Arabidopsis thaliana: one gene and its partners. Each later gene encodes a partner of the first gene's protein in a complex. Each region holds a gene or a part of one and is shown on either strand. Other genes may lie near its edges. A codon is read from its position in the direction of its gene.

The links.
Region 2: the proteins of emb2458 (region 1) and AT5G22210 are in contact, whole or in part, in a cryo-EM structure (PDB 8XKU), measured with the Arabidopsis thaliana proteins. Residues at the interface, in NP_187084.6 of Arabidopsis thaliana: Lys294 (codon at 5,016), Phe302 (codon at 4,992), Arg305 (codon at 4,983), Phe309 (codon at 4,971), Arg404 (codon at 4,335), Ile405 (codon at 4,332), Arg408 (codon at 4,323), Glu424 (codon at 4,275), Phe431 (codon at 4,254), Pro432 (codon at 4,251), Glu435 (codon at 4,242), Val436 (codon at 4,239), Val446 (codon at 4,209), Val447 (codon at 4,206), Pro448 (codon at 4,203), Lys449 (codon at 4,200), Gln452 (codon at 4,191), Leu453 (codon at 4,188), His454 (codon at 4,185), Arg456 (codon at 4,179), His457 (codon at 4,176), Gly458 (codon at 4,173), Trp459 (codon at 4,170), Lys461 (codon at 4,164), Trp462 (codon at 4,161), Gln463 (codon at 4,158), Ala466 (codon at 4,149), Lys467 (codon at 4,146), Leu470 (codon at 4,137), Lys471 (codon at 4,134); in NP_680207.1 of Arabidopsis thaliana: Glu14, Ile15, His16, Lys18, Val20, Pro21, Pro22, Leu23, Asp24, Val26, Phe27, Leu28, Trp30, Leu31, Arg33, Arg37, Val38, His39, Phe41, Lys42, Pro43, Lys44, Asn45, Thr47, Arg48, Ala49, Ile50, Thr51, Pro52, Pro53.
Region 3: the proteins of emb2458 (region 1) and FtsHi1 are in contact, whole or in part, in a cryo-EM structure (PDB 8XKV), measured with the Arabidopsis thaliana proteins. Residues at the interface, in NP_187084.6 of Arabidopsis thaliana: Arg815 (codon at 2,382), Gln902 (codon at 1,901), Lys934 (codon at 1,669), Glu938 (codon at 1,657), Arg942 (codon at 1,645), Pro943 (codon at 1,642), Asp947 (codon at 1,630), Arg948 (codon at 1,627), Thr1148 (codon at 723), Glu1149 (codon at 720), Ser1150 (codon at 717), Arg1151 (codon at 714), Ser1152 (codon at 711), Leu1154 (codon at 705), Gln1198 (codon at 484), Tyr1199 (codon at 481), Trp1201 (codon at 475), Asp1205 (codon at 463), Pro1207 (codon at 457), Ala1208 (codon at 454), Val1209 (codon at 451), Tyr1210 (codon at 448), Tyr1211 (codon at 445), Ala1212 (codon at 442), Asn1214 (codon at 436), Ala1215 (codon at 433), Val1216 (codon at 231), Ser1217 (codon at 228), Ala1218 (codon at 225), Leu1219 (codon at 222); in NP_567691.1 of Arabidopsis thaliana: Ser497 (codon at 4,694), Val500 (codon at 4,703), Glu653 (codon at 5,669), Leu656 (codon at 5,678), Arg660 (codon at 5,690), Leu678 (codon at 5,744), Arg684 (codon at 5,762), Gln692 (codon at 5,786), Gly693 (codon at 5,789), Arg696 (codon at 5,798), Arg697 (codon at 5,801), Gly731 (codon at 5,903), Gln732 (codon at 5,906), Leu763 (codon at 6,091), Arg766 (codon at 6,100), Val771 (codon at 6,115), Ile772 (codon at 6,118), Tyr773 (codon at 6,121), Gly774 (codon at 6,124), Ser775 (codon at 6,127), Asp776 (codon at 6,130), Thr777 (codon at 6,133), Ser778 (codon at 6,136), Lys779 (codon at 6,139), Ala780 (codon at 6,142), Val782 (codon at 6,148), Leu785 (codon at 6,157), Ser786 (codon at 6,160), Ser789 (codon at 6,169), Arg793 (codon at 6,181).

What each region holds. Positions count from the first base shown.
Region 1 is NC_003074.8:1,147,447-1,155,952, forward strand, and holds the start of emb2458 (FtsH extracellular protease family), read right to left. Parts: upstream 6,205-8,506; 5' UTR 5,896-6,204; coding exon 4,901-5,895; intron 4,550-4,900; coding exon 4,078-4,549; intron 3,634-4,077; coding exon 3,433-3,633; intron 3,359-3,432; coding exon 3,065-3,358; intron 2,984-3,064; coding exon 2,714-2,983; intron 2,593-2,713; coding exon 2,371-2,592; intron 2,297-2,370; coding exon 2,123-2,296; intron 1,977-2,122; coding exon 1,855-1,976; intron 1,719-1,854; coding exon 1,517-1,718; intron 1,310-1,516; coding exon 1,181-1,309; intron 1,084-1,180; coding exon 595-1,083; intron 506-594; coding exon 431-505; intron 232-430; coding exon 172-231; intron 1-171. Other genes in the region: AT3G04350 (vacuolar sorting-associated protein (DUF946)), read right to left, coding at 6,526-8,117. UniProt on the Arabidopsis thaliana protein: Required for plastid development during embryogenesis. Might be involved in chaperone functions or play a structural role in the thylakoid FtsH complex.
Region 2 is NC_003076.8:7,356,703-7,360,885, reverse strand, and holds AT5G22210 (aspartyl/glutamyl-tRNA (Asn/Gln) amidotransferase subunit B), read right to left. Parts: upstream 2,109-4,183; 5' UTR 2,003-2,108; intron 1,353-2,002; 5' UTR 1,338-1,352; coding exon 1,095-1,337; 3' UTR 835-1,094; downstream 1-834. Other genes in the region: E2F1 (E2F transcription factor 1), read right to left, coding at 1-137; AT5G22200 (Late embryogenesis abundant (LEA) hydroxyproline-rich glycoprotein family), read right to left, coding at 4,015-4,183.
Region 3 is NC_003075.7:12,435,038-12,442,709, forward strand, and holds FtsHi1 (FtsH extracellular protease family), read left to right. Parts: upstream 1-2,070; coding exon 2,071-2,762; intron 2,763-2,856; coding exon 2,857-2,941; intron 2,942-3,104; coding exon 3,105-3,539; intron 3,540-3,623; coding exon 3,624-3,677; intron 3,678-3,770; coding exon 3,771-3,836; intron 3,837-4,097; coding exon 4,098-4,193; intron 4,194-4,633; coding exon 4,634-4,762; intron 4,763-4,842; coding exon 4,843-4,895; intron 4,896-5,012; coding exon 5,013-5,208; intron 5,209-5,381; coding exon 5,382-5,496; intron 5,497-5,633; coding exon 5,634-5,992; intron 5,993-6,084; coding exon 6,085-6,197; intron 6,198-6,285; coding exon 6,286-6,535; intron 6,536-6,606; coding exon 6,607-6,804; 3' UTR 6,805-6,993; downstream 6,994-7,672. Other genes in the region: AT4G23930 (Late embryogenesis abundant (LEA) hydroxyproline-rich glycoprotein family), read right to left, coding at 1,094-1,657; AT4G23950 (Galactose-binding protein), read left to right, coding at 7,260-7,470, 7,616-7,672. UniProt on the Arabidopsis thaliana protein: Functions in chloroplast biogenesis and chloroplast division. Required for plastid development during embryogenesis. Might be involved in chaperone functions or play a structural role in the thylakoid FtsH complex.

The DNA of each region.
Region 1 (8,506 bases):
GAGACTGTAGAGGAACAAGATGACATTAGAGAGGTTATGTATTTTAGCCTTGGACAATGCTTGAACCAACTGAAAAGCGAAGCTGAAGATAGAAAATTGCGAACACTAGAGAGGCACCAATGACACTGGCAGATATTAAGAACGTATTGGAAACTAGAGAGCAAAACAAACCTTTTCAACTTTACCCGCCATTTCATATTCGTGATTGTTCCCCATACTCAAAGCTGAAACCTGCTCATTCGAATCAAATAAACCAAACAGAAAGAAAAAAAAGTATAAGGTCAATCAACTGACCAGATGAGACATCAGAATGAATGCAAACTGTATGTAAGATCGAATCATCATGTTCAGTATTCAACATGTTGGTTCAGTGGTATCAGACATTTAGTCTTGGAATGGAACCAATTTCAAGTAAAACAATGAAGGTTACCGCGTTAGTAGCATAGTATACTGCAGGACTGTCATCGGGTCCCCAGCCATATTGAAGCACCATACGTGTTGCAATCTGTTGCAAGACACAAATAATAATCATGGGGAAACGAAACATTAAGTATGTAGATGACAGCATACCGCAAAACAGTAGACAGAGTTTACCTCCTGCGCTTTAGTTATTTCTGAAGAAGAAAGAAAATTTTCATCTCCGGGAGGAAGAAGCATTTGGGATGCAATGTGAGATCCAAAGCAGAAAACGAGCTTCTTTTCAAGATATGATCTTGATTCCGTGTTCCCAATCGCGGAGCCTCCACTTGTGACCTTGGTGATTTTTGTACACCCAATTCCTTCCCAGGAACTAGGCTCAAGCCAAAGATTTTCCACAACATCAAAGTTTGGTATTAGAAGTGTGATGAGAGCACGACCAGCCGCCCAGACAGCATGTGGGAACTTTGTCTCCCTCGTCCAATCAACAGTAGGATTCAAAAGTTCTATTCCATTACTTATTTGTCCATATGGTTCCATCAGATCAACCACATTCTCCAAATCATCTTTGGTTAAGTTAAGTCCAAGATGATTCACAAGCATTTTGCCCATTGTCTTTGCAACTTTAGTTTTTCGCAGCCATGGGGGCACTATATGGCTAAACGTCTGTCAGAAAAGAGAAAGAAATCACCTGATGAAACCATACTAAGAAATGAACAAAAAATGGTTTGACCTTAGGCGACGAAAATGACAAATTTCTTACCGCAAACCAGCTAACGTAACTCAGAAGTTCGTCAGTGTCCAGAAATTTGCTTCTGAAGGCACTACTTTCGAGAGCCATTGGAACAAGTTTCAGTTCTATCGGTCTTAATAAAGTTGTCTTCTCTGAAACCTGTAACCATGAACTGGTTATTAAAATAGTGGAACAGAACTACAGAGAGATAAACCCAAGAAAGAAGAAACACGACATGATATAGTACTCACAACCATAATAGAAATGAACCATCAAAACTTTGGAGGTGCAAAAGAAAATAGACAATAGGTAAAAACATATATAATCGCTAGCACATATAAACAACTTTGCAAAGCTTAAGATCACCTTACGCCAATCCACTAGATCAACGAGTTCTCGGTCCATGGTTTCTTCTGCAGCGTTGTGTAAAATCCTCTCCCTTTCCATTTCAGTTGGACTTTGAAGATGGAATACTCTATCCATACGACCTGGCCTTCTTAGCGCCTCATCAATTTGCTTATGATTTCGTGTCGTCGCCATCAAAACTACGCCATCCTGTTTCTCAAAGCTGCATAAGTAGAAATTATAAAGTGGAATGACATCAGAAAAGTCAACCGGAAAAAGGAGAATGCTACTTTGAGAAACCGCTATGAATGCTTCAAATCTGGTCTTAATTTTTAATCAACATAGAAATTGGCTCTTACCCATCAAGTTCAACAAGAAGCTGATTAATGAACGATTCATGATCTTGCTGTTTTGTATGTACAAACTTCCCGCGTACACCAGCAAAGAGGTCAAAATCCTCCACAAAAATGATTACAGGTGCCTAGTCATCACAGTAAACATCAGAACATAAGATGACATTGAAACTGATGTACATAAGATTCGGAACCTGAATATCATGAGAACTCAAAATTTAATATCTATGAAAATGAATGAATCAACAAAAAAATCTGAGGCAAAGAAGCTAACCAAGTCTCTTGCAGTTTGAAAGAGTTCCCTGACATTCGCTGCACTTTGACCAACCCATAGCCCAGCTTCCAACTCTTGAGCTTCAACATTGACAACAGGCACTCTTGCTTCGGCTGCTATAGCGAGCGCCAGTGACGTCTTTCCCGTTCCTCTCTCACCCACAATAAGAACGCCCTGCAGCGTGAATAAGCATGCTTACAATCGGACACTATCCCACAAAATAAGCACACAACCGTAAAGCAACATACCCGAGGTGCGCGGGCTCCCATCTCCTGAAATGCCTTTGGATTCTGTAAAAATGCCACAACCTCGTTGATTTCTTCTCTCATAGACTCAATACTAGCAAAGTTCTTTAATGGGATAGGTGGATTTTTCACTCTCTTCATTCTGTCGAATGCAGTTTTTATGGGGTCGATTCCAGCCTTTCTCTTTTGTTTGATTCTCCTTTTTCTATAAGTGAAATATGATTTCTGCAAAACAAATCAAACTGATTTTAGTAATCAACTGTAAGTGTACTAGCTACAATACTACTGCTCACGCAAATTGAGAGTGTTGGAAAGAGAAGCATAAGGAGAAAGAAAAGTTACATACCACTCTCCAGAATTTCCGTACGTTGGGATCTCGGCGGAAGGGTCCATAGCCAAGAAGTCTTGGAACCTTTCTTTTTAGAAAGCGGAAAACGTGATACAAAACAAACCCGTATATAGAACTTCGAATTAGAAACCAGAGGAACCACTGAAAATCTTCTGTATTGCGGGACTTGAAATTCATTTCTGCTTCAGACTGCCATTGTAAGTACCATGTTGAGCCAACAGTCTGTTCTATTTCTTCTGGCCAAGCCATTCCCAGACGCAGCCTTAACTGTATCAGAAAAAAGTCATAAAACAAAAAGAAAAGACACAGGGAAACAGGAGGAAAATATCCAGCGAGCGTACATTATACCTGGTAAGGAATGATAAATTCGATAACTGGAAACACAACCGCCATCATAATGTCATCGTTTATATTCCTTATTTTCTCTAATACTGTATCCTTCGCATTTGATACAACTTGAGTCTTCCTCAATGCGTTAAAGACTCGAGAAACCACCCTTGTAACCAACAGAAACTGTTGTTGAAGACTTAGCTCTGACATGGGTATCCACATCAGATGAACAGAAGTTGGGATTCCACAAGCAAGCATTTTGAGGTACAGAGCATCAAACCCTCCAAATTTCTCAAATAGCATCTCATATTCCTACAACCATAGACAAAAGTTAAAAGCCTAAACTTAAAAATCCATCAAATAGAGAAGGACTTCAACTGGTCAACCTTGATATCAACGTAAAACTCCTTGTCATCTCCTTTTAATGCAACATACATTACAGCATAATCATGCCTAATCCTGGCACTGTCAATCAGCTTCCTGGAAACTGCGTAGGGAACAGCCATAGGGTCCATCTCCCACCTACTTTTGTCTTCGTTATACCAAGTCTTCGAAACAACTCTATCTCGATCCAGGAGAACTTGTTCCTTCAGATTTTAAAAATTCATTAACTAATTGGTGAATGATCAATACATGGGAAAATAAACTCTGCAAAAGACACATATGTACATAAACTTTTCAACAAGGTTTCAACTAAAACTGTCTCATTTTACGTATTACAGCGAGCCAAAAAAAAATTAAGTGCTTCTCACTTGCCCAAGTAAACTGATTTACTTTATAGCTCGAGAAGATAACACATGAAATTGCATATTCAATATATATAAAAAAAAAACTTCAGAACCTACCAACACCAAGGCAATTCTTGAGGTTTCCATCACCCAAGAATACAAAGCTATAGATTAATTATGCTAATCGCAAGGCTAAGAGTGTAATTTATCTACCATGAAAAACATAAAGCATTGTTCCATCCACCATATTAAACACACCACATACTTTTGGGCTAGTACTTCATATCATAAGCCAAAAGTTACCTGTCTCTGCGCAATATATTGTTTGCCAAAATCAACATCTTCCAAAAGTTTCTGTTTTAAATCGGCTTTTGCTTCTTCCTGCCACTTTTTCCAACCATGGCGTAGATGGAGCTGGATAGCTTTCGGAACAACCACCTCTTTCTCTCCAAACATCCATTTCACCTCTGCTTCAGGAAATCCCTTGACAGCTTCACCTTCTGGAGTCTTTTGAACAAAAAGCTTTTCTTCACCAAACTTTTTCATACGTTTTCTGATACGATTCTGAAGATCTCTCTGCAGCTTTTTTGATTCCTCAAGGCGTTTTTTGATGCGTAGAGAAAAATCCACTGAGTCACGATCGAAAAAGGGATCAACCTCCTCTAGTTCCAAAACATTGGGCAGTATCATTTGTTCCAAGTGCTTTCTTTGAGCGTTCACTAATTCCTGCTTAATCTCAGACCTCGAGAGTTTTGTAATGGAGCTTTCAGGAACACTACAACCAGAAAATCAATTGATCTTGTAAGTGAAACATGAAACATTTATGTCGACAGGAAAAACAGCATAGACATGTTAAAAACATATATAAAAGCCAACAAAAAGATACAGTTAGACTAGGTGCAGGAGTACAAACAAGATAATTGGTAATCTAACAAGTAAAAGATACAACATTACCATCACCGCTAGAAGTGCACGCAATAAGATGAATGCAAAGAGAAATCTTGCAAAAAGATGAGCTTATGACAATCAACTGTTAAAATATCCTCATTAAAGGGCAACCAAAATCTCAGCTATAGGTAAGGTAGAATAATATTATATCTGCTAAAATCATGGCTAGAGATATCACCTTTCAAAACTTTTTTGATTCAATTCTCGGTTGAAGCTCTTAACCAACTCTACACACTCTCTTTCAATGAAAATAAGCTCCCTAACCCCAAAACTCAATGTTGTTGTCTCTTTCTTTAAAATGATATCATCAATCTCATCTATTCTTTCCCATATCTTATTGTACTCGCTCTCCATAATATCCACACTCTCTTCCAGTTTCTCCATTTTCTCCCTAGCACCTTTTCTCAACAGTTTTTCACTCTGTTTCTTCAAACTTAGGGCCTCATCTACAATTTTATCAGCTCGTTTCATTAACAAATCTCTCTCCTTCCTCAACCGCCTCATATCACGATATAACCCACTCATTATCTCCTTCTGCAGTTTCTCCTTCTCCACCTTAACTGCATCCAAAGCCGCTCCCACTTCAGCAACCTCTCCATTTTCCTTTCTAACTATCTCAATAGTCTTCAGTAAAACCGAGACTGTCTCCAACAATCTCCGAGTATAATCCGAGAACTCATGATCAACTGCTTTCAAAACCACCTCTTTCTCTCTCACTCTCTCTTTCTTTTTCTTCCAAATAACATCACTGACGAAAGGCACAGCTAAAGCTGGAGCTTGAAAAGAGCGAATCGGAGAAAGTCCAATTGCAATACAAAACAAGGCGTAAACTAGAGGCTTGGTAACAAACTGTATTACGCTCTCTCTCGTCTTTGCGCTATTATACTCGGAAGATAGCACAAGCTCATTTCCCTCTCCACATAATCTCAATGATTCCGAAACAGCTTCACTACCGTAATCAGACTGTTTCGACCTCAAAAAACTCCCGGAAAAACCAAAGCAGCCTCTAATGGGCACAATTTTCCTAGATTTATTATTGGATTCTCTAGACCCAAAGTTTCGATTTTTGACTCGATGTCTAGGCTTTAACGATACTATACCTGAGCTCAAATAAATCGGAGACAACTGTGTGGAAAAGGGTGAAGATAAGGAAGAAGCGGAAATGAAATCCATCGCAGCAATAACGGCGAAGTGAAAATCAACACCATATCTTTGTCACAACCTCCATTTCAGCTCCTCAATAATGCTATATGATTGAATTCTCCGTCCGCAATTCGCCGGATTTTAAACTGCAGCTAACGACGGAAGTGAAAGCTCACTACACAGCGCAGTGCCGAGAGGTTTATCAGAAGAAAGAGAAAGAGATAGAGACTAGAGAACGGTTCAAGTTTACAATATACACATTATTAAAACCGATTATCGGAACCGAATTATCAATAACCGATTTCGTCCAATACTACACACTAACCGGAACGATGTGTCAAACCGGAACAGTTGGGGGTGGTTATGAATTCAATCTAACCAATAGCGTAAAGAACACAGAGAGATACGAGAAGATAGCAGTACAACAAAATCAATCATTCATATTGCTCATGAGCTGTCGCAGCTGATTACAGCCGCAAACACAGCGTTTTAGGTCTTACATCAACAAATTACAACCACCAAGATCAAACCCTATTCTAGTATACTGTAAATTACATATTAGTCACAATTACTAGTAGAGTAGAGATCAAAACCCTCCGATTCAACAAGAGACTTCATCTTCCATTAAACCGTCTTGATCACAAAGAGGTTTGTCTTCTTTCAGCACATCTCATCTCCTTCCCAGTTATCTTTCTCCTTTGGCCCTGTGGGACCTTCTTCTCCATAAAGAGCAATGGGAAACAAATCAACAATGTTCTCAATAGAGAACCTAACAACCAAAGGAAGAAGATTCATGATCTTATTGATCTCAGACCCTGAATCATATGCAATGGTCGGACCCCATTCTCTCATATACTGTAACCAGCACGGCTCTATCACAGCTCCTTTACCTAAATACTCAGCTGCTACTATCACATACCTTTGGCTTGAATCCACAATGTACTTGCTTTTTGCAACATCGTTTCTGACTCCAATCCCGAGCTTTGACGAGCCTTGGAGGTACATTCCTGGATGAGGGAAACTCGCATGTCCGTGTTTAGATGAGTACACAGCCGGTTTGTTATCTTTCACAAACTCAATATCTGATGCATCAACCCAACCACCACCACTATGCTGAGAAAAGAACATTTGCCAAAGCTCACCAGAGAAATTACATATGCGGAAAGTGAAATGTTCCCAATCACCGACATGTTCTCCTATGCGGGTCATAGGTAACGTGAATAGGCCGATTTTGAGCGTGGCTGGGCCATTAAAGGGGCAGAAAATCCACATAACGATGTCGGTGAAAGTTCCACCAAGTGCTGGTTTCACATGAACGTAAAGCTCCGAGCTTTCAAGGTTTCCTTTCTTGAGATTACTCTTTGCTTCTTCGTCTTCAGGAAGATCTATCCAGAAATCCATATCATTGCATCCTCCAGCAGGCAAGTTCGAGCCCGTGGAGTTAATCGGTTGACCTTCTGATTTCCCTGACCGGTACAACAAAGCTCCATTCTTAAAGAACCATTGTACAGATGAAGGCATGTAAGCCTCTTCTGGGTGGAAGTAGACTGTTGGTCCGAAGTGTTCGATAACCGCATGGACCTGGTCGAGATTTGGCATCGCGTGTAAGGTCGGATCAAGATTCTTTAAGCATCCGATATCAGGGACCGTCCTCTCAGACGACAGATCATACGTGCAGCAAAAGAATGACCCAACAGCGACACCTTGTGACAGCATCCCTCTCTCGCAAGGTCGGGTGCTCCATACACTAAAAGGAGAACTAGAGCCGTTCGACTTCTTCGAAGAACCCACCTCAAGTATCATCTCAGAGGTTTCACAACTCTCTGTAAGATCCTCTCTTACACATCTGACCTCCTCTGTTTCAGGTTCACCTGGTTCATGGGTTACAATAACTCCCATTGCTCTGTAACCAACCGGAGGATTAGGTAGCCAGAAATAACCACCACCATTTTTCTCTGAATCTGCACTCCAAACTAAAGAATAACTCACAGGCTTTTTCAAGGGCGGGAAATCATCAGCATTGACGGCTTTGCTAGTCCGAGCTGCAAGTACATAACCTCTCAAGGGCTGATCGGTTGGCTGGCAATAGTGACCAAGGCAATGGAATCCTTCTGGAATGTCATCGGCTCTGTAAAATGTAGCACGTTTTGATTTGTCGTGTGATGAATCAGAGCTCCAAACTCGATGGAACTTGGTGATTTTCACCACTTCTATTTCTCCTAGGCTAATTCTTCCTGTGGCAAAACCTTTACCTGCAAAGAGATTGACAGTAACAGAAAAGTACATCACTTTCAGCATCAAAGAACTAAAAACACTTCTATATAGAACAATTGATAGATTGAAACAGTAAAACAAGAAGGCGCTTAGCTTGATGCATTCAAAAGTACAAATTCATCAGCTTCAAATTCATTACCAATACCGAGATTTATTTCCATCAAACAAAACTTAAGTTTTTGTCCCATAGAAGAGTATTAAATAACATGATACCATATCCATCTACTCTTCAACACATTTAAGATAGAGCCTTTTTTTCTATGATCAGAGAGACAACATTATCATTGCTTACATTATTGAGCCAATAAAACTTAACAAAACCAATCATATCTAATTATAGCAAAAATAGAAAGTCTCTTTAAGGCTT
Region 2 (4,183 bases), on another chromosome or scaffold:
GCTCCACCACCGCGAGTCTCCGCCGCATCAAACCGGTGATACTCACCAGGAGCAACTAGAGGAGGCTTCATAGAAGAAAGAGAAGGATGAAGCTGCCGCTTAGAAGATGGGAATTGTTGAGGTACTTCTTCAGACATAAGAACGAATCTCGATAAAAAATCCCCCAAAAAAAAAAAGAAACGGCGAAAATTGTCACGGAAACTCGGATCTCCGGTAAGCAGAGATCCCAATAACGATTAAGAAGCAGATCTACGGCGGGAATTACGGAGATTCCGGGAAGAGAATGTGAAGAGATCGGCGAATCGAAAAAAAGCGGGAGAGGAGAAGAAGATGAAGAAGAGGAAGGATTATAAAAAAAAAAAAAAAAAGAGACGGTGGAAGAGGAAGAGAGAAAACGAGGGAATGAGTTGCGTTTGGTTCTGAATACTGATGTGGAGGGAATTAGCGCTCTTTATCTCTCTCTTTGTACACAAATCTTTTTACCAATATCTCTCTACTAAATAATAATAATCCTATTTTTATATATAATACAAAATTATAAAATTTTAAGTAAGTTTTTTTTTTTTTAAAGTCAACGAAGTTAATAAAGCTATGTAACTAATTTGGATACAGTTTTATTTCCTTGAGATTGAGGGGAAAAAAATGAATTTTGGATTTATTCATGTTAAGAAGTGGAGCATAATAATTTCATCAAACTGTTGCAGCATCCGTTACACGCGTTAAGTGTGAGCAATTATCGTCAAAATCTGTCGAACTTATACGTTTTTTTGTTTTTAATTCATAGGTGAGGCAAAACTATATTGATGAAAATTATGCTCATGAGTGTCTCATCATTTAACAACTTTTTTAAATGGAACCTCGAAACATAGGGATTCCAAATCATAGCACCAAGACAATAGAAACATGTGTCGTCTGAATGCAGACACTTGGATCTCTTATGAATGCTATACTGTTTAGAGAAGATAATATATATTTATAGACTGAGCTTCCAAAACACAAGCTTTAAGTATGACTGTATGAGTAATCAAAAAAGATACTAAGACTTTGAAAGCTTCATACATAACAAACAGAGACAACAATAGAAGAACCCCTTTTTACTTGAACAAATGGGCAAGATCAGGGTCATCTAAATCTACATCAAGCGATCCATTTAACCGCATAAACTCGATGTAGCTATCTGGAGGAGTGATCGCACGAGTGTTGTTCTTCGGTTTGAATCCATGAACTCTCTGGAGATCTCTTGCGAGCCAACGCAGAAAAACTTTGTCCAATGGAGGTACAATCTTCAAATGGATCTCTTCGCGTTCTTCTTTCACCGTTGTAGCTTTGTTTCCCATCTTGCAAAACCCGATCTTTACATACATCATATATAGTATCGTCACATTGTCCAAACCACAAAAACAAGTTATCTAGTCAACAAGATGATTATGCAACACTTTTAGCAGATGCATTTTGGGATTAACACTTAACACAATCTATAATTTCTCCATGCACACCAATATTGCAAGTGTGTAACATTTACATGTTCGGATGCAAATTATCTCGTGAATAACACAATCGTCAATTCGTCATAACCATCTAAAAGGAGAGACTAAAAAGTTCTATAGAAGCTATACACTAACCTTAAGGACCATCAAAACCTTAATTAAGAGACCAAACTATTATACATCAACCAAGTAATCATCTCAGCGTCCATTTTTAAAGCTATCTTTGTTCCACTATGTCCAAGAATCATAAGATCCTCGAGCAAATAAATTGTACAAGATGAGACATCTATGAACCACCAATTCAAGGTCAATTCTTCAAGATGATTAACATGATAATATCAATTAGAAATCAACTCATTCATGAATACTAAGTCTACATTTAAAACCCCTAAATCAATGAGAAAACTGGAGAAATTACTTCAAATTTCTATCATCACTATATACCCAAAAAATCAGGTAAAATCCTAGCCAGCAAATTAAGCTTAGCGATATGATATAGATTCAAGAGATTTTACCTTTTTCAATCAGAGAGACAAAACATCAGAAACCGAAAGTGAGTCGAAGAATTTCTGACCAGACAGACACTATAGAGCGTTTTGCAGAGCTAAACCAATGTCGTATCGCTAGCTGTATGTCATTTTCTGGGTTAAGCCTAGTAACATAAAAAGCCCATTAGCTTTCACTTTTTCTTTGGGCCAACTGTTATGGTTTAAATGTGGAAACATAGCGACGAATGCTCAAAAAGGTGAACTACACTCTACAGAGACTACAAGTGTGGGTTTAGTTGCAAAGTGACTAAGTTTGTTGACGAATATTCGCTATAGTAATCATCTTTTTTTCCTTTTTTTGCTTTATGAATTTGTAAAACCAAAATTTTATGAAATCACAAAAGTTCTAAAGTTAGGAAAAGAAAAAAAAAAGTGTTGTTTTTGTTTGTTTTCATCTCTCACGTTATCAAGTTGATCAGTTAATTTTGTATTTATGAAAAGAAATTGATAACATTTTCTATGGAAAAGAAAAAGGATAATTGTGCTTCACGCTACACACACGGTAAGGTGTGCAAATGTCGTCACCAACGTGACGTTGATGTCACAACTCACATGTATTAAGTCATCATCTATTACATAGAATCATACATAACTAAGAATCTACACTTGGTTTGATGGGATTTTTTTGGTGGATCTGTTTTCAAGTGTCCATCAAATATATGTTTCTTGTTGCAATTGTTGCATCAAAACATATAAAGTTAATACATGATTTAAGGAATCATCGGGATTGTGATTTTGAATTGTTGCTTGCAAAAAATTGGTTTTAAGAATTAATTTTTAACATATTAATTTTTTTTACGTGTGATTGAGAATACTGATCAATCCTCATACGAGGCACACCAAACATGAGTTTGTGCCAACAAGCCCTTTGAAAATATTTCTTAGAAGAAAAAAACAATGACAATATATTTTTGTTATTAATTAGAAAATAGCTACTTTTTTAAAAATGCCAACTTTATAATCTGTTTGGAGTTTCTAAAATGTCAGAAACAGTTTTGATTATTTAATACTATTAAACTCTTACAAATCAGCACCTTGTAGGTCAATTCATTGAAAACTAATAATGTTTGCACATTATAATAGAAAGTAGGATAATTATTTTCAAAGCTGAAGTTATCCATAAGAAAACAATTTTGGGAAGAAATTAATTTACTCGAGAAGTCCGCATTCAAGTTCACATGACAAACAAAAAGTCTTTGGAGCTAAAACTTTAGTACCCAACAAACCAATAGCAACAAGGGAAAGGAACTGATATTTAGGACAAAGTGAATGTGTAAATATGATTTTGTCATTTCCCCATGAAATCCAAAAATATCTTGTAGTACATTTTTCAAAATTTTATAATCCCAAAACATAAACAAAGTGTTTCTAACAATAAATAATTCAGATTGCTAATTTTTAAAATTTATTTTTGGTGTGTTTTATATTTAAATATTTCATTCCATAAATACCAGCAGCTACATAGTCGTTGTCATGTGATTCATATCCAACTAGAAAATAAAACCACTATTGTAAGCTTTGCCTAATCCTGACAATTTCGTGTGCAGGCTGGAGAGTACTAAAAATGTCAGGATTAATTTCATTCATGTGTTAAATCTTTTATATATATGCTAAAAGCCTAAAACTCCACGTAAATTTAACATGAGTACTTCAAATAAGTATCTCGTAGTTCTAAATCATCAAATTTGTTTATCATACGTACGTTTGCCTAATGAAAACTATCTACTATTAAAATTGAATTGGATAAAAAGGAATACATGTGATGATGTGAACTTACTAATATGTTCTGCTTTCGCTTTAGTACCATGGACATTACTTAAACGAACAAGTTTAATTAGCGTTTTGTTCTTCCCTTCTTTTAACACCCTTTAGATAAATTAACTAATAAGTCAAATCAACAACAATTTGCTACAGCCCTATAGTTTACCTTTATATCTCCTTTAACACCCTAGAAAAAAAAAGATTCTTCTTCTTGTTTTTCATACGTCAACAGCACATCGCTGAACAAGCTGGTACTTGATCGCCGGACCGGTGCCGGTTAACTTTCCGGTGACGGTAATGAACGCAGGACAGTTAACGTGGAGGCGATAACTGCCAGAGACCCACGAGCCCACTTTCCACCTAACCCAACCGTCTATTTTGATGTTG
Region 3 (7,672 bases), on another chromosome or scaffold:
GAGAAAGCGGTAAAAAAAGATAGATAAGAAAACATAAGTATATGTCTTAAATAAGAAATAATAAATATAGGTTATGGTAGGCCTTGGCAAAAAAACCGTACCTGAAAACTCGAACCGAAACCGATTCGAAAAACCGGTTTGGGGCGGGTACGTATATTAGCTATTTACCCTATTGGGTTTTAGATTGTTGTACCCGTGGATATAGGATAATAGCCGACCCAAACCCGATACCCGAAAGGGTATCAACTTATCCGAAATTACATATACTTATTCATAGATTTATACATATAAAAATTTATTTTATATTTAATATTTGAACCAAATACATTTATATCCAAATATCCAATAATAATTACTAAAAACTAAATGTACCTATATTTAAATACTTAATACTAAATATTTTATATATGCAAAATATTCGTAAATGTTTTGGATATTTGGACAAAATTTCGGTTATTCGGGTAAAATTCAGATATTTGGGTAAAATTTTCGACTATTTGGGTATAATTTCGGGTATTTGGGTAAAATTATCGACTATTTGGGTACAAATTTCGGGTATTTGGTACAATTTCGGGTATTTGGGTAAATTTTTGGGTATTTGGATATAAAATACATGAATCCGAAGGATACCCGTTTTTTTCGAGTATTTAACGGTTCTAAAATTCTATACCCGAACCAACCCAAACCCGATTAGAACCGAACCACCGAAGTTTTCTATTTACTCTATTGGATTCTAGAACAGTATACCCGTACCCGATCGGGTATTACCCGAACCGACCCGCATACCCGAATACCCGGCCCTACGTTATGGCTATAAGTGTATTTACTATACAGAAAACGTTAATCCAAACAAAGAATATGGAAAGCATGCATATCTATGTAGACTAATGTTAAGGCTATTACAATTGGCAACCGAAAATTTCGTGTTAAGTTGTAATTTAGTATACGTACAAAATCTAAAAGTACAATAGCTTTGTATTAATATTTGCAATTTTCTAACTTGATGGATTCAGAAAAGAACCCAAGAGGTTTCACTTCACATACATGTATTTTTGAAAAATAACCATGTCACTTTTACAATTGTTTTTTAATATTAACAACGGACGGCTACGATGGAACCATCACTCGAGGAAATCGCGATCCTACAATTACATTTAGCCGCGATTCGGTGAGTAAACAAACCGAGAACCCGAACCCGACCCGCCATCTCCAGCTTCGACTCTATTTCCACTGTTGACCCGGACCGATCCGAATTTTGAAATTGGGCGGCGGAGATTTGAGAACTAGAGGCCGCCGCGAGAGGAAACGACTGAACGGAGAAAGTAGCTAACATACGCTTGGTTCGACCCGATTCGATCTCACCAGCAGGTACGAAGGTATAACCGATCCGGTTTCCATAGTAAAAGAGCTGGATTACATTGTTGTAGTGTGAGAAAGCTGCGCGGTTAGGGTTTCTAACGGCGGAGAATTGAGAAAAGGTGAAACTAACGGAGCTATTAGCGACGGAGAATGAAGGAACCTTGACGCTAGTGACGGAGATCTCAGGATCTCTCGGTCTAAAGACTGTGAGATAAACAGTAAGTGCGGCGATGATTAAGAAGACTATGAAGAGCGTGGCGACGGCGCATGAAGCGAGGTTTGAACAAGACTTCGACATTTCTCGGTGGAGATGTTTGGTAGCGATGATTTAAGTGTTCACTAGTTGGGATAAAGAGTTTATTTTTGGTTAAAGGGAAAGCAAAACGACGTGTAAAAGCAAAAGGATGTTTTGTTTGGACATAGTGATAACGTTACAACGGAGTTTGGACTTAAGTGTGTGTGATGCAGCGAAGGTGGCCGACTAGAGCTAAATAAATTATTTTAGTGAACAAACAATGTACCCGGAACAGAAACCGGGTTTCGAAGTCGGGTCGAATTGTTGTAATTTAGAGCTAACAGAACAAAAACCTCCTGAGATTGAATAAACCTCCGATTGCTCTATTTTCTTATCCAGAACGAAGAGAGATTCAAATTTCGCAATGCGATTCTAGTGAAGCTTCTTTTTCTTCTGTACATGGTTATCGTCGTAAAATGGCGTCTATAGACAATGTTTTCTCACTCGGTACTCGGTTCTCAATCCCAGAAAACCCCAAGAGATCGATATTGAAACACGCGACTACATCGAGTTTCTCCGCGAGAACTCAAACTCGATGGAGAGCTCCAATTCTGCGTCGGTCGTTTACAGTTTTGTGCGAATTGAAAACTGGGTCATCTAGCTCCGGCGAGACGAACAATTCCCCTGCTGCTGACGATTTCGTAACTAGGGTTTTGAAGGAGAATCCTAGCCAAGTGGAACCTCGTTACCGAGTTGGTGATAAGCTGTATAATCTGAAGGAGAGAGAAGATTTAAGCAAAGGCACCAATGCGGCGACGGGTGCGTTTGAATTTATCAAAAGGAAGTTTGATTCGAAGAAGAAAACAGAGACAGACAAAAGCGAAGAGTCTGTTTATTTGAGTGATATTTTGAGGGAGTACAAAGGAAAGCTTTATGTTCCGGAGCAAGTTTTTGGGCCAGAGTTATCTGAAGAAGAGGAGTTTGAGAAAAATGTGAAAGATTTACCAAAGATGAGTTTGGAAGATTTTAGAAAAGCTATGGAGAATGATAAAGTTAAGCTGCTTACATCGAAGGAAGTTTCTGGTGTTTCTTATACGAGTGGCTATAGAGGTTTTATTGTTGATCTTAAGGAGATTCCTGGAGTCAAGAGCTTACAGAGAACCAAATGGTGAATTACTAGGATTAAGAAGAAGAATAAAAGTTTTAATTTTGATGTATGGAGAATATTGGTATGATTTTCTTATTGATCTGTTTCTTGATAGGTCAATGAAGCTTGAAGTTGGAGAAGCTCAAGCTCTTCTGAAAGAATACACGGGTCCGCAGTACGAAATTGAAAGGCACATGACGGTGATCACGCTTTTGTTCATTTAGATCTTATCTACTAGATTATATAATCTAATGTCCTCAATATTTTTGTATTGTGTTGGTTAGGAATTTTTCATAACCTATTCACTAGGTTGACAAACAGATCTATTTTGTTCTGTTATTGACTGAGTTTATATGTTTGCAGTCTTGGGTTGGAAAAGTGGCGGACTTCCCAAACCCTGTTGCGTCTTCTATTTCAAGTAGAGTGATGGTTGAGCTGGGAATGGTGACAGCAGTTATTGCTGCAGCCGCAGTTGTTGTTGGAGGATTCTTAGCCTCAGCTGTTTTTGCAGTCACTAGTTTCGCCTTTGTCACTACAGTATATGTTGTTTGGCCTATAGCAAAGCCATTCCTCAAACTTTTTGTTGGCGTCTTCCTTGGTGTTCTTGAAAAATCATGGGATTACATTGTTGATGTTCTCGCCGATGGGGGCATCTTCTCAAGGATTTCTGATTTCTATACATTTGGTGGTGTAGCATCAAGTCTGGAGATGCTCAAACCAATCCTACTTGTTGTCATGACTATGGTTCTTCTTGTTCGTTTCACACTGTCACGGAGACCAAAGAACTTTAGGAAATGGGTATAATACTTTAATCACTCAACACTTTTTTGCAGAATCTATTGATATCGCTTGCGCCCTCAATCACTTCAAATGTTTTTGCAGGATTTATGGCAAGGGATTGCTTTTTCTCAGTCTAAAGCAGAAGCTCGTGTTGATGTAAGTTTCTAACCATTACTCCTATATGCATGTTTCTTCAGTTCTAATACTTTTTTGGTTGAGTTTTTTATGACTTCAATGATTATATTTCAGGGTTCAACCGGTGTTAAATTCGCTGATGTTGCAGGGATTGATGAAGCAGTTGATGAACTTCAAGAGGTATCGCTTGACCAAATTTCTCGTGCAATTACTTTAGTATGCTTGCGCCAGTTCTTCCCTGAGTATGGATCTCTTGTTTTATTATGTGCATTCTTGGTTAGCTTAGCCTCTAAAACCCTTACCATTAGGGCTTCACTGCTACCCCATCAAGTATAAAGTTGCATGACATTATTTCGTTGAATCTTGGAAGCTCGAGAGAAACCGGGATCTGAAGCTTACTAACCTCTTAGTCTCATTACGATTATCTCATTTTCTTGATAGCTTGTAAAGTACTTGAAGAATCCCGACCTGTTTGATAAAATGGGAATTAAACCTCCCCATGGAGTTCTTCTGGAGGGTCCCCCTGGTTGTGGCAAGGTATGTGTAACCATCTATGCTAATGCCAATCGAAAAGATTTATTGTTAAGTATTGAATAGTATTTTTGTAGCAGCATTATACTTTAGAATACTAAGAAATACTATAGATAATCAAACATGCAGTGGTGCCTGTTGAGATCAATTCTGCTGAGGTTGATGGTTGTATTTCAGAGTATGCTGAGTGTTTGGCAATATCATCACTACTCCTTCAACTTAAACCTGAAATTTGTCTTAAAAAAGTTTTGAATGTTTAGTTGCTATTAACAAGTTATGATTGATTCCTATTCTCGATTGAGATCTTATAAAATCTCAATGTTTTATACAATTGTCAATGATCAGTTTACCTCTTATTGTAGTCGATTAGCTTTATCTACAAGGATCTTTTGACAACCCAGTTGCTAGCAATATAGAGCCTAACCTAACCTGATTTGCTTTCGTAGACACTCGTTGCAAAAGCCATTGCGGGGGAAGCTGGTGTACCGTTCTACCAAATGGCAGGATCTGAATTCGTCGAAGTTCTTGTTGGAGTTGGGTCAGCTCGTATCAGAGATCTGTTTAAAAGAGCTAAGGTGATTGGACATATGTGTATTTATACATTTCTGTGCAGAGATGTTAAATAGTATTTGATGATGTCTATGTCCTTGTGCAGGTAAACAAGCCATCCGTTATTTTCATCGATGAAATTGATGCCTTAGCAACTCGGTATACAATATTTTCGTCCCTTGTATCTAGATTTTGATATACTACCTTCCTTGCATAATTTTTCAACTTGAGACGGAGTTTAACTGATATCGCTCTTTATATTTTGGTATTCGTTAGACGTCAAGGGATTTTCAAGGAAAACTCAGACCAGTTGTACAATGCGGCCACACAAGAAAGAGAAACCACATTGAACCAGCTACTCATCGAGCTTGATGGTTTTGACACAGGCAAAGGTGTGATTTTCTTGGGTGCCACCAATCGCAGAGATTTGTTAGACCCTGCTCTTCTACGTCCAGGTCGATTTGATCGAAAGGTTTGTGATTAACAAAATCTAGACACTAAATCTTCTGTTCTCAAATTTTTGATAGCAGTTATTCGAATTAATAAACAACCAAACGACAATCGCAAGCCATTTGAATTTATCTTGCATTAATTTTGTAGACTTAAGAGTACCGGATAGACCGTTAAAAATAATCTTCTTATCAGATAAGAGTCCGTCCCCCTAATGCGAAAGGGAGATTGGATATTCTGAAGATTCATGCCAGCAAAGTCAAGATGTCGGATTCTGTTGACTTATCATCTTATGCAAGTAACTTACCAGGTATAAAATCTACAATTGATGTTGCAAAGAATATTTGTTATGCTCATGGTGTACCTTTTCCCATAGACAACTTATGTGTTTGAACGTATTGGCCTGTATAAAACTTTGATTAAAGTAATTGTTTATATCAATTACAGGATGGTCCGGAGCAAAACTGGCACAGTTGGTTCAAGAGGCTGCTCTTGTAGCTGTCAGGAAAACGCATAACTCGATTCTTCAATCAGACATGGACGACGCTGTGGACCGACTCACTGTTGGTCCGACACGTATTGGTTTAGAATTGGGACATCAAGGTCAGTGTCGTAGAGCCACAACTGAAGTCGGAGTGGCAATCACTTCACATCTTTTATTGCGGTATGAGAATGCAAAGATTGAGCGGTGCGATCGCGTTTCTATCATTCCTCGTGGTCAGACACTGTCTCAAGTTGTGTTTCATCGGCTTGATGATGAGTCCTACATGTTTGGTCGTCTTCCACAACTGCTTCATCGTCTTCAGGTGCTTCTTTTTCTCTATTAAAAAAACTCTTCACTCATTTCTCTAATATTCGATGTTACGAGTTTATTATACTTCTAAAATTTCTATTTCAGGTCTTGCTCGGAGGAAGAGCTGCAGAAGAAGTGATCTACGGTTCAGATACTTCAAAGGCATCAGTCGATTATCTCTCTGACGCCTCATGGCTAGCTCGTAAAATCTTAACCATGTGAGAGGCCCAATTTTGCATATTTTCACATTCCCCTTTAAAGTAAAAGCTTCTTCTTACTCAAGACTTATATATATTTGGATTTCAGATGGAACCTGGAGAACCCAATGGTGATACATGGCGAACCACCACCATGGAGAAAGAGACCTCAGTTCGTGGGACCACGCTTAGACTTTGAAGGATCTCTCTATGACGACTATGACCTCGTCGAGCCGCCAGTTAACTTCAACATGGATGATGAAGTCGCACATAGAAGCGAAGAACTCATTAGCCAGATGTATAACAAAACAGTTTCTCTCCTCAGGCAAAACCAAACCGCTCTCCTCAAAACCGTTAAGGTAATTTCAAACATTTAACCGCAATTGCGTTTTCGTTTGATTTGTTCATACTTTTATTTTCCCATGTGTAGGTTCTATTGAACCAGAAAGAGATAAGTGGAGAAGCAATAGACTTCATACTTGACCATTACCCTCCTCAGACTCCGTTAAATTCTCTCTTACAAGAGCAAAATCCGGGAAGTCTTCCTTTTGTCCCTGAACATCTCCGGCGTGAATCCGGCGACTTTGTCCTTGTTAATCACTCTACCGACGTCAATGCTCAAGTATGATTCCGGCGTCCCAGAGACATCAAATCACTAAGCTTAGGTTTATTCATTGTCCGTCATTGTAACTTCGACTCAATCTCTGAAGTTTCGGACAGTTAAATTTACAGAAATAAAGAAAAAAACTTGGGTCAAAGACACTTCTTTGATTTGCTAACAATAGATTAGACAAACTTAAGTATAAATTTAGAAACAAAAAAAGTTTTAATTCCGAGGAAATCGACGGACAAAAAGTTTGGTTCTTTGTTTCAAACCACACAAGACAGCAACAACACGAGTCATGCACTCTCTTTCTTACCTTTTTTCTTCTTCTTCATCCGTCTTCTTTTGCTCTTGTTCCTCGTGCCCTCTTCTCGGTTTCTACAGATACAGGTCATAGTCATACAACCAACGATCTCTCTTGACTCTCTCCATCTGTGCATGTCACACACGAGTATAGATCTCTTCTCTGCTTTATAGATATGGCGAGGCGCGGAAGCTGTTCGACGATATGCCTGAATGAAAAATTGCAAAGGTTTCGAATTGTCAGAATCTCCGACAAGGCTGATAATTTTAATTCCAGAAGCGGCAGCTTCTTCGAGCGTTCTATCTCTCTCGTTCTCTTACTCTGGTGCTTCCTCTTCCTCGTCTACTCCAAGCTTGGCCAAAGCCATGATGATTATGGTAATGCAGGTAAGTGTTCTTCCTTGTTTGAGAGAGATTCCGTTATCATTTCAAATGTTAATTAAGGAAACAAATTTAGGGTCTTTTAACTTGGGGGGTATATTCCAGAGATTGCTATATTGTGTTCCTCTGAAGAAATCAATTTATTTTGTAGATAGAATTGGGAATTACACTGATGGATCAGTCTCAAAGACACTGAATTCCACGAGTT